3 linked regions of the Sus scrofa genome follow. The protein of the gene in region 3 binds, or shares a complex with, the protein of the main gene of each other region. Links are inferred from orthologs where the notes say so. Each region holds a gene or a part of one and is shown on either strand. Other genes may lie near its edges. The genes, in order: GPR158, GNB5 and RGS7.

Region 1 (4,076 bases), about 38 Mb from region 3:
TAAGTTATATAGGTTTTCTAAAAATATCACTTAATGAGGAAATTATACTTCAGTCTTTAGATAACAGAAAATCATACTATAGGAGTTACTGTCGTGGCTCAGTGCTTAACGAACCCAACTGGTATCCAAGAGAACTTGGGCTCGATCCCTGGTCTTGCTCAGTGGGTTAAGGATCCGTCATTGCCATAAGCTGTGGTGTAGGTTGCAGGCAAGGCTCGGATCAGGTGTTACTGTGGTGTAGGCTGGCAGCTATGACTCCAATTCGACCCCTAGCCTGGGAACCTCCATATGCCATGGGTGTTGGGAATTGAAGTGAATTTGAGGTTGTCTGTGTCTTTCTTCAGGAGTATGAAAATGGAGGTGCATATGGATAGTGGAGGTGTATAAAACACTACCTATCCAGTACTAATTAGTATTTTCAGAATGAAAATGTCAGAAGACCCTCTTAAAGCTTCAAATAAAGCAATCAGACTGTGTTGAGGATTTTTCCAATCATTTGGTGGTGGTGGCCTGGCATATTTATTCAGCTCTTCTTTCTTCTGCTTGGACATCCTAATCTATAGTTAACCAGATGTCTTAGCTCTCGTATCCATTAATTTTAGGAACTCTCAGTCAGAACGACTTCCTTTCTCTCTCAACACATTCTCACTCATTCTCATTCTCTCAGAGATCAAGTCCCACTCCTGTGCATGTTCTCTCCCTTCCAGGTATTCACTTGCATACACTGTCACAGGTTCCCCTTCATCCTTTTCAAAGGTTCCTGAAATATTTCTTAAAGTTCAGCCAGTAGATGTCTCCATTACTCCCTTCTAGCTAAGACCTCGGCAAGTAGGGTTTAATCATTTCTTTAACCACAACAAGGAGGAGGATTTGTTAATTTGCCTAAAAAGAGCAGATGCTCGGGAGGACACGTTTCCATCCTACGTCCCTCCCCTCAGATTTAAGTAACAAATGAAAACTACTTTCTCCCTCTTTTCCAGGCAAAGAAAAGGCTGCTTTAACGAAGCATGCGAGACGCCAACACCCTCCTCCTCAGTACATCCAAGTTTCCTTCGCTCTGAGCCACCAAAGCTCTGCTTCTCCTTTCACTCCCGCCCACCCCACCCCCACCCACTAAGGTTCCCGAGTCATGAGGAACGCGAGTGGGTGAAAGGACTCAGCGCTGCTGCATCCCGCGCCATCCCGCGCCACCGCCTCCTCTGTGCCGCTCGGGTTCAGCACTGGACAGCTCCCGCCCCAGCCCAACAAATGGCAGCCGGCTGATTGACAGAGGAGCTGGCCAAACGGAGAACAAGACGATTTGAAGCCGCCCTACGAGGGTTTGGTTGCGGCCAAGCTGCTTCTTTAAACCGGCTTTCCTCCCGAGAGCAGTGTGGTTTGTGGCCAAACCTAAAGACTCCAATTAACCAGCTGCCTGGCCCTCTTGGCTCCACAGAGACAAAGATCTTAAGAGAAACCCTCGTTCTCTGGGACTTGCTCTTGCGCTCGCGGTGCGGGTCCGTGTTCGCGCGTTCCGAGCCTCGGGACGAAGCGAACTAGGAGGAGCCAGAGCCGGGAGGCGGGAACGACCTGCCACTGGTGAGATGATGGAGCAGCGTCTTCGGCGGCCGCCGCCGCAGCAGCAGCTCTTGAACACACCTCAATGAGAGCGGCGGTGGAAGCTGCTGAGCTGAAAGACGTAAGCAGGCTAACTATAGCTGCCGGCAGCGAGAGGGGATGTAACCTGTTCGGCTCAAGGCTGCGAGGTGCGTAATCTCGAGCCGACCCCTTGTGGAGCAGGAGCAGCCAGCGTTGCCACAGGTGATTTGATTTCCTGTGACGGTAGCTTAGTCAGCCGGGCATATTTCGGAACATTTATATTTTAAAGTCCCCTTGGACTCGGTGCCAGCTGGAGACGGGAGAAGACCCCTAGTAAAAGTCTTACTGTTGACAGACTGACGACCAAAATTTAAAAAGTGACTCCTCCCGTTACCTCCTCTCCTCTCTGCGGGGCAGATGGGAGCCATGGCTTATCCTTTGCTCTTCTGCCTCCTGCTTGTTCATCTGGGATTGGGAGCTGTTGGCGCCAGCCGCGACCTTCCAGGTCGGCCGGATTCCCCTCGAGAGAGGACCCTGAGGGCAAAGCAGCACGCCCAGCAGCCGGCTCGAGCCTCTGCCTCGGACCCCTCGGCTCCCTGGAGCCGCTCCACCGACGGCACCATCTTGGCGCAGAAACTCGCCGAGGAGGTGCCCATGGACGTGGCCTCTTACCTCTACACCGGGGACTCCCACCAGCTGAAGCGAGCCAACTGCTCCAGCCGCTACGAGTTGGCGGGCCTGCCTGGAAAGTCGCCTGCCCTAGCTAGCTCCCATCCCTCCTTGCACGGGGCGCTGGACACGCTGACACACGCCACCAACTTCCTCAACATGATGCTGCAAAGCAATAAATCGCGGGAGCAGAACTTGCAGGACGACCTGGAGTGGTACCAGGCACTGGTGCGGAGCCTCCTGGAGGGTGAGCCCAGCATCTCCCGGGCGGCCATCACCTTCAGCACCGAGTCGCTGTCCGCGCCGGCCCCGCAGGTCTTTCTCCAGGCCACTCGCGAGGAGAGTCGCATCCTGCTCCAAGACCTATCCTCTTCCGCACACCACCTGGCCAACGCCACGCTAGAGACCGAGTGGTTCCACGGCCTTCGGCGCAAGTGGAGGACTCACTTACACCGCCGCGGTTCCAACCAGGGGCCCCGGGGCCTGGGCCACAGCTGGAGGCGCAGAGACGGGCTTAGCGGGGACAAGAGCCATGTCAAGTGGTCTCCGCCTTATCTGGAGTGCGAGAACGGGAGTTATAAGCCCGGGTGGCTGGTCACTCTCTCTGCTGCTTTCTACGGGTTGCAGCCTAACCTGGTCCCGGAATTCAGGTAGGGAGGAAAAAAGATAAAAGCAAAGTCTTCCTTCCGGTTTCGCGGGTAGGTGGGTGTGTGGGTAAGGAGCACTTGGCTGTGACACTTATGCCCCCAGCCTCAAAGCAGAGACCCAGGCTGAGGGGACACCCCAAGAAGGCACAAGTGCTTAGGGAAAAGCAGCTCCCTGACAGGTTCAGACAATCAGCAAAAGCTTTTCTTTCACATCAGTTCCCCTGCAAGGCATAGGGCATCTCTTGGCAGAGCTGAGAGATGCCCTACGTTTCTATCTAACCCTAGGGAGGGGAGGGAGGTGGAGTTCCCCATCGGGATGATGCACTGAAACCCTGGGAGTGCAGGGTATGTCAGCCAGGCGCAGAGCAGCAAACATCGCTGGAGAGTAGAAAAGGGAGCCGGAAGAAGAGTTCATTGTTCCTGCTACTTCAGGATTGGCTCTGCCTGCTTCTTCCTACGTGTGCAGTTTGGGGCGCCAGTCTGTTGTTACTCAGTTACCAGAGCATGTAATGAAAACAGTTCGATCCCCTCAGTGGTTCTGTCCCCTAGTCTTCGCCTGCATAGCTGTCACCACCATTGAGACTTTGCATCTGGTTGGTGTGCTCCTTCTACTCATCTCCTTCTGTCCCCCAATCTACCTCCCATTCCTGGGTGCCCTCTTTTTCCTGTTTTCTGTGTTAGCACACTTAAGCGTTCTCCAGCCCTTCAAATACACTTTATAAAGGAATTGGGTTGAGTTATCTGAGAGAGGGAGGGATCTCACTGAATTCACTCAGGAAATTTGGAGGAGACTTAAAAACAATTCTGTATTTCCTGCCTCAAGGTATAGCATCTGTGGGAAGATGAGAATTTCCAAATTAGCAGGTCGTTAGCTTGTGCCCTGGGACATATCTGATCTTTGGGGTGAGAAACTTCTGGAAGTAGCCTTTAAGAGTGAATGTGAGGAATACAAGGAAGGAGCAAAAACGCCAAAGAGGGACTGGGAGAGGGCCACAGATTGACTGGGATCCTCCCCAGTTCCCAATGGGAAGAAAGTCTTGGGTTGAGCTTGCTTCTGTTCTCTTTCAGAAACTGGGCAAAAGTAAGACACCTGTGTGTGTGTGTGTTAACGCCCTTTTGGTGCAATAAGGACAGGATGTTGACCTGGTGAAAGATACCAGGGGGCGTACTGGGTGGGCGAAT
Region 2 (3,646 bases), on a different chromosome or scaffold from region 3:
GAAGAACATATCTGTAAAAGAAATGTGCTATTTGTGGCAATAAAGAACACAGTGTTTTAGCAGAAGCAATGGTATAATAATTGCACATTCATGTAGCACATAGAGTTTAGCAAGTACTTTTTTACAGCTTGGGTTTCCACAAATACTTTTATCCTGTTTACTCATTTGTTCTTTTATCACAAAGAAATGGGGCAAGTAGGGAGTTCCTGTTGTGGTGCAATGGAAATGACCAGTAGCCACGAGGACGCAAGTTTGGTCCCTGGCCTCACTCAGTGGATTAGGGATCCGGCATTGATGTAGCTGTGGTGTAGGTCACAGATGCAGCTCAGATCCTGTGTTGCCGTGGCTATGGTGTAGGCCAGCAGCCATAGCTCTGATTCAACCCCTCGCCTGGGAACTTCCATGCTGTGGGTGTGGTCCTAAAAAGCAACCCCCCCCCACACACACACACACAAAGAAACTGAGACTTCTTGGAGAAGTGGCTGCTTCCAGGGCTAGGGCAGGGAGGGAACATAAGCTCTCAGTAAGAAGTGCTCAAAGGATGATGGGCACGTGTCGGGAGGTCTCAAGAGCCTGCCTGATGGGGCTCCCAACTGAGCAAATCAGCGATGAGTTGGGCATCAAAATAAATAATGGTAAATATTATTTACTTATATTTATAAGTTAATCATAAATTACTATAAGTTATTAGTTATTAATAACTTATAAGTTATTTAAAGTTATTATAGTTATTATAACTTATAAGTTATTTATAACTTCTTGAATAAAGAGAGAATCTGTGATTCCCTACTTATGTAAATGAATGAGTAAATATGTTAGGGAAGAGGGGATATTTCTCTTTATATGAGAAAGCCAACTAAAAACTGCAGAAGGAGTGATGGAGTTAGAACAGTCACCACTTAGGAGGGGTTGACAGAACAGTATAAGCCAAATGTAATAGAAAAAATAAAAACCTAAAAAAAAAATAGTCACGACTTGCCAACTATCATCATTATCGTTTCAGGCAAGAATCAGGAATGGATATTAAAAGTAGGCTATTCAAGATTGAGGAGTAACAAGATACATATGTACTCTCAAAGTACAGCCCCACAAAATACTTTTTCATGACACAAAGCAGAATGGTAACTGTGCAGTGGAGTGCGCTGGCAGGCACCACCTGAACCGAATGATCAGAGTCAACATTGCTAGTGATGGGACTAGCAGACAGCAGGAGCCTCCTGAAAGGACAGGTGTGTGGGGCAGGACCTCAGTACTAGTCTGGTGTTTCTGCCAAACGAGTGTTACCCAAAGATAATCTGAAGGAAGCAGCAGACAAGCCAGGATTGGGGAACAAAATAACTGGAGATGAAAGAAAATGACCACTGAACACAATGTGTCATCTTGGATTTTGTTTTGCTCTAAAGGTATTGTTGGGATGATGGAGGGTGTCTCAACAAGGTCTAGAGACCAGACACAGCATTGTTTCAGTGTCTGCTCTCTGACTTTGATCATTATACTGTGGTTATGGAAGACAGTTCCTTGTTTTTAGAAAACACACACTGAAATGTTTAGAGAGAAGGAAAGGAGGAGGGAAGGGAAGAAGGAAGGAAGGATTTCTGAGAAGGGGCATTATTGTCACAAGGCTTAAAGCACAGAGTCAGCCCCTCAGCCCAGGCTTGAAATGAGAGAGGGAAAGGCAGGGCCGGTGCCTTGCCTCTCTCCACCTTGATGCTCAGCCTGTACCAGGACACCACACCTTTCCTGGGGCTGTCCCCTTGTCTAGAATGTCCCCTTCCGTTTGCCTTAACTCCCAAACAAAGGCCCAGATGAGAGGTTGGTGGAAGAAAGAGCAGAGGTGGGGTTAGGAGCTGGGGCACAGCCTCTAACCTGAGAGAAGGTGGCGCTGCACAGGGGGATCCGCTACCTCAGTTTCCTCACCTGCTCAATGACAAGATGGATTAGTTTCTAGGGGCCTTTCTGCTGCTTGGGGTGAACTTGTTCCCTTCTGAGACTCATTGGTGGAACCTCTCTAAAAGCCCCTTGTAAGTTCTCTCAGCCCCAGGAAAGAGGTTGTGGTCCCAGCCCCCAAGAGAGTGACTTGGGAGAACCTTCCTGCTATAGATACCTTCTGCAGACCACGTGTTCAGACAGGAATGTGGCATTGATCTCTACTGACACTAAGTTTTCAGTAAATCCACAGGATGCTGTTGGGTGGGTCACGCATCTGTTTTTTTCCTGCAGCATGTAGCTGGGGCACCTGCCATGGCCCAAGCCTGTGCCAGGCACAGTGTGTGGGGGGCACAGTGAGCGCACTCAGGACCTGCTGTTGAGCATATGGTTGCTCATCCTGGCATCTGATGGGGCAGTTTCTGTAAAGTCACTTTTTCTTGTAACTGAAAAGAAGTAGGTAAAAAACCCAGAAGCCCCACTTTGCTCCCAGTTAGTTGTATAGACTTGTGTGAGCCCCAGGCTTGTTGCCCATTCAGTGGGAATGACCATCTCATCTACCACCCCGCTCATAGAGCCCTGGGCCTTTGGTGGGAGAATTCTGCATAGAGCTTTACAGATATCAGGCCGTCCTGCCCTTAGTCCCTCAGCATGCATGTATGGAAGTGCTCTGCAAAACATAGTGCCTTTTTCAGAGGGGTTCCCGTTGTGGCACAGTGGTTAACGAATACGACTAGGAACCATGAGGTTGCGGGTTCAATCCTTGGCCTTGCTCAGTGGGTTAAAGGATCCGGCATTGCCATGATCTGCGGTGTAGGTTGCAGACGCAGCTCAGATCCCGCGTTGCTGTGGCTGTGGTGTAGGCCGGCGGCTACAGCTCTGATTCAACCCCTAGCCTGGGAACCTCCATATGCTGCGGGAACAGCCCTAGAAAAGGCAAAAAGACAAACAACAACAACAACAACAAAAAAAAAAAAACCATAGTGCCTTTTTTTTATTGAAGTATAGTTGATATGCAATATCATATAAGTTTTACATTAGGGTCTTAAACACTGAGAGAGTGACAGTATGAACTTGGAAGAGAGAGTGCTGCAAGGACATAGGGTGGCACACAGGAGAATGAAGCAGCGATGTCTCACCTGGGCCAGCTTGTGGCTCAAGACCTGGTCCTTGGCATGGGATTGATGTGCTTGTCCTTCCAGTGCACCAGGTGGCAGAGCGTGTGGAGGCCCTGGGGCAGTTTGTCATGAAGACCAGGAGGACCCTCAAAGGCCACGGGAACAAGGTTCTGTGCATGGACTGGTGCAAGGATAAGAGGAGGATCGTGAGCTCCTCGCAGGTATGGCACACCTGTTGGGTGATGGGGGACACCTTTCTGGTCATAAAGCTGAGGGGAAGGAGCCATCATAAAAAAAAAAAAATTTGGACTTCCTGTTGTAGCTCAGAGGTAACAAACCCAACTAGTATCCACGAAGGCGTGGGAGCGATCCCTGGCCTTGCTCAGTGGGTTAAGGATCTGGCATTGCTGTGAGTTTTGGTTAGGTCTCAGATGCGGCTTGGATCCTGCTTTTCTGTTGCTTTGGCTGTGGTGTAGGCCAGTGGCTACAGCTCTGATTCGACCCCTAGCCTGGGAACTTCCATTTGTCATGGATGCAGCCCTAAAAGACAAAAACAAAAAACAAAAAAACAAAACCCAAAAAACAAAACAAAAAACCCTTCT
Region 3 (3,646 bases):
TAACACAACATTGTAAATCAACTATACACTTCAATAGAACAACAACCAAAAAGAAACATTTGCGCCTCTAATTTTGTGCCAGTCTTTCTGGAGAGGCAAATCTTAATATGAATGCAAATATTTAAGTGTCAAAAACCGTAGCCTTGAACAGGAACTTTATCTCGTGGTTAACATAGACACAGAGTAAAATTACCTTTACAATTTGTCACTGTAGGATTCTTCCTATTTTGCCCCAACCTGAAATGAATACAATATTTGAAAGGAGAGAACATTTATTTCACTTACCTTGCTTCAAGTTCCCAGAAGGTAGTATCATCGGACAGCCACGGGTTAGAAGGGTCAGGGGGCACAAGAAATGGGTCATATTCTACATACTGTTCCGTGTAACTTAGCAGACTTGAGAGAGAAGAAGAAAAACATTTCACTTTTCTTAGTTTTCTGCCTGATGTTCTGTCTAGTCTTTAAGGGACACTGTATAAAAATGCTTGGCGAAGGAATCCCTGCTTGCTTATAGGATTTAATGCAATGGCAGTTTTCACTTTTCAGTAGCTTTTGTGCATCAGCTTACTGCACTTCTTAGAGGACCAGAATGGCTAAGGACTCCACTGCTCCCCCGGCTAAGCCATAGAGTCAATATCCCTCCATGACTACGAAGCCACACGGAAGTCAGCGCATAAGAGGAAGCGCCAAGGTTAAGTCCAGTCCTTGATCCATCAGCCCACCCACAGCAGAACTGATTTTAGTTTAACCTGGAGAAGAGGTTAAAAGGAAATTTTGTCAAAAATACTTACAGAAATTAGGTAAATGGGGAATCACTGACAAAAACATTTTGAAAAAAAATCTACATTTTAAAAAAGTCAAGGGAAAGAGAGGAAAAAGGCTGGAGATGTAGGACTGAACAAGGCTCCCAGGTAAAGAATACGAATGCCTTGAGAACACAATTCAATGAAGAAAAGGAAAATACGCAAAGTCTGAGTTTAATTCAGATTCTAACGTCATCAAATAACTGGCCAGTGTGAACGTTCAGATGAATTTATAGAGAGCCTCTAAGTTGCAAAAAGCTAACTTAATAAATTGAAAGCTTCATTTCTCCCAGAAGGAATGAAAAGACTCAATTCCTTCGAATTCTCTTCTGTATTTGACGCTGGTTGCACAAACACTGGACCTCTAGAGACTTAAGATAATAATGATCATTGTGTCATTTAAACTGCAAACAAAAGAGCTCTTTGACATTTTTCTATGTTCAAAAAGGAAAAAGAAAATAATATTTTTAACGGGTTTCCAATTCTTTATACCAGCTCGCCTCCCACCATTCTAAACACATGTAACTGCCACATGAATTTTTAAAAAATTTATATGGTACCGTAAAGTACTTACCTGTCAGCAACTTTCGACATTTTTAACCTATGTCTATCTAACTGTATTTGCCAATATTTTATCTGAAAAAAAGATTTGGAGAAGTAGTTACATAAGTAGTGACATTCTCACAATTTTCAACTCCAAATTCTAATAGACTAGGCAATTCTAAGCAAGACTATGTTTGCAGTCGGTAAATGTTCAAAGTCTGTAGAAAAAAGTCAAACATGAGGGCTTGGAAAGAGTTAATAAAAATAAAAATCTGTTTGAATGTAAATATAATCAATATTGCTTTGGAAGAGCAATGATTTGAACATTCTGACAGCTTTAACGAAAGGTAACTTTAAGTGCTATAGAAATTTTAAGCATTTATTCATAGTGAGTAACCAAATCAGAAGCACATTTCTTCCTCAAACATTCAATTCAGGAAATAACTGTATCTGCTATTTGTTACTATAATGTCAAAATAAACCTGCTTCCTAACACTAACCCTATAAAGGATCAATGATAGTTGTTTTAAGGATGATTTTATGAACTTTTCAGGACAAATTCTCACATGGACATATTGCACATGGAAAATTTAAAACTCTCTGCATTATTTTTTCCTCACTGTGATTATAAATATACTAGAAAAAGTATATATTACACAACTGATAAACCCTCCTACAATAAAATATTAAGGGGAAAGAAGGAAAGGGGAAAAAGTCCCATGTTTTAACTAACAAAGAGATTTAACTATTCCTTGATATGAGACACTCGGTGTTTGCTTTGAAATATTACTTGGAGTTGAAGCTATTGATCAATGGATGAAACAAGAAGCAATACATAATGAGACCGGTCATCAGTGCTAATAAGGCTTAGCACTATTCAAGAGGCATATAGAGACCGGCACTGCAGAAAAAACAGTAAGCACTCTTTTGTGAAGGTCATGCCTCATGATTAGGGGCGGAAAATACATGACCTCATGTCCCCAACCTCTTGTCTTCTCATTCGTTAAGACAGAGTTCATCAGAACAAAATAAACTCTTAGTAATGGAGACACCTATAAATCCGTGTGTGTGTGTGTGTGTGTGTGTGTGTGATTTAGAAAAAAAAAGATTAGAGGGGAGTTCCCATCATGGCTCAGTGGTAACCAACCCCACTAGTAGCCATGAGGATGCAGGTTCGATCCCTGGTCTCACTCAGTGGGTTAAGGCTCTGGTGTTGCCATGAGCTCTGGTGTAGGTCACAGATATAGCTTAGATCCGGCATTGCCTTGGCTGAGGTGTAGGCCAGGAGCTGCAGCTCCAATTCAACCCCTAGGCTGAGAAATTCCATGCGCTGCAGGTGTAGTCCTAAAACAAACAGACAAACAAAAAACAAACTAACAAAAAGGTTAAAGGAAAAAGAATTTGGGGAAGAGTGAAGAGTTTTGAAAACAATTTCCGTATATTGATACATTTTCAAGTGACAACATACCTTAAAATTACCTTTTAACTGCAAATCTTCTATGTGAAATGGTCATTCACACTAATCACTTAAAAAATACATGCTATTAACATTGCCCATCTGGTTCTCATACCTGCTACTCTATTAACCATCATACAGTTGACCCACCTGTTGTTGTAACTCATCTTCTGTTGCAGGTTTACTTTCCGGTGTGGGTGTGTGGGTAGGACTGTGACTTCTAATATCATTTTGTAAACCATAGACAGACTATATTAAAATAAAAAAGAAATATGTTAGGATAAAATAGCATTAGAGTCATAGATTTTCTAAAAGATAACTTCATGTTATATATTCAGGAAAGTAGCTCCATGCTTTGCTGCATATTGGACGAAGCTTCTTATCAAAACTCAAAAGGCACTGCTATCATAAATGCCATATGCATGTCAAATAGAAGCACAGGTTTTGGAAAAAATATGTGGTTAGATTATTAACTGACAGAATAATTGATGACATGGAAAGAACTGGGTAAGTGTGATAAAATACAAAGGTGGGCTGATAGCACTAAATTGGGGAAGGACAACACAATATAACATCTAAGAAGTATGGATTTCAAAGTAAGACAGAGGTGGATATAGAATCATCGGGTCCATGGCCAACCTTACAGTAGCTCCAAGTTCAAATGTGCTTTGGTTCCGACTCGTTTTCACTTGGATGCCACCTCTTCTTTTTTTTTTTGTCTTTTTTGCCATTTCTTGGGCTGCTCCTGTGGCATATGGAGGTTCCCAGGCTAGGGGTCTCATCAGAGCTGTAGCCGCTGGCCTACGCCACAGCCACAGCAACTCAGGATCCGAGCCGGCTCTGC

The links.
Region 1: the proteins of RGS7 (region 3) and GPR158 are in contact, whole or in part, in a cryo-EM structure (PDB 7SHF), measured with the Homo sapiens proteins. The link is inferred for Sus scrofa from reciprocal best matches to the Homo sapiens genes RGS7 and GPR158. Residues at the interface, in NP_001351815.1 of Homo sapiens: Gln35, Ile43, Ser55, Arg109, Phe110, Thr112, Pro113, Tyr114, Phe115, Lys134, Thr136, Lys140, Ala141, Arg142, Leu143, Leu145, Ala146, Asp147, Ala150, Leu153, Gln157, Trp164, Phe168, Met169, Gln170, Glu172, Ala173, Gln174, Lys176, Val177; in NP_065803.2 of Homo sapiens: Leu507, Lys508, Phe510, Leu511, Arg513, Thr514, Tyr595, Tyr598, Ala599, Thr602, Val603, Pro604, Ile714, Arg715, Leu718, Lys719, Tyr722, Leu725, Glu726, Tyr728, Lys729, Arg730, Met733, Ile734, Thr735, Asn736, Asn737.
Region 2: the proteins of RGS7 (region 3) and GNB5 are in contact, whole or in part, in a cryo-EM structure (PDB 7EWP), measured with the Homo sapiens proteins. The link is inferred for Sus scrofa from reciprocal best matches to the Homo sapiens genes RGS7 and GNB5. Residues at the interface, in NP_001351815.1 of Homo sapiens: Pro19, Leu22, Val23, Lys26, Val30, Ile72, Val76, Glu77, His80, Leu81, Leu84, His88, Val207, Asp213, Ile214, Lys215, Lys216, Leu258, Gln261, Ile262, Trp265, Gln266, Gln268, Leu269, Arg271, His272, Arg273, Leu274, Lys275, Met276; in NP_057278.2 of Homo sapiens: Leu57, Glu60, Ala61, Glu62, Leu64, Lys65, Leu68, Glu71, Lys74, Leu75, His76, Asp77, Val78, Glu79, Leu80, Val83, Leu90, Phe93, Arg98, Arg99, Leu109, Lys117, Arg118, Ser134, Phe135, Trp149, Met151, Leu167, Tyr197, Ser206.

Annotation. Positions count from the first base shown.
Region 1 is NC_010452.4:50,199,804-50,203,879, reverse strand, and holds the start of GPR158 (probable G-protein coupled receptor 158), read left to right. Parts: upstream 1-1,131; 5' UTR 1,132-1,995; coding exon 1,996-2,897; intron 2,898-4,076. UniProt on the Homo sapiens protein: Metabotropic receptor for glycine that controls synapse formation and function in the brain. Acts as an atypical G-protein coupled receptor that recruits and regulates the RGS7-GNB5 complex instead of activating G proteins.
Region 2 is NC_010443.5:119,555,317-119,558,962, forward strand, and holds part of GNB5 (guanine nucleotide-binding protein subunit beta-5), read left to right. Parts: intron 1-3,128; coding exon 3,129-3,265; intron 3,266-3,646. UniProt on the Homo sapiens protein: Enhances GTPase-activating protein (GAP) activity of regulator of G protein signaling (RGS) proteins, such as RGS7 and RGS9, hence involved in the termination of the signaling initiated by the G protein coupled receptors (GPCRs) by accelerating the GTP hydrolysis on the G-alpha subunits, thereby promoting their inactivation.
Region 3 is NC_010452.4:11,979,169-11,982,814, forward strand, and holds part of RGS7 (regulator of G-protein signaling 7), read right to left. Parts: intron 3,052-3,646; coding exon 2,953-3,051; intron 1,440-2,952; coding exon 1,378-1,439; intron 397-1,377; coding exon 286-396; intron 1-285. UniProt on the Homo sapiens protein: GTPase activator component of the RGS7-GNB5 complex that regulates G protein-coupled receptor signaling cascades.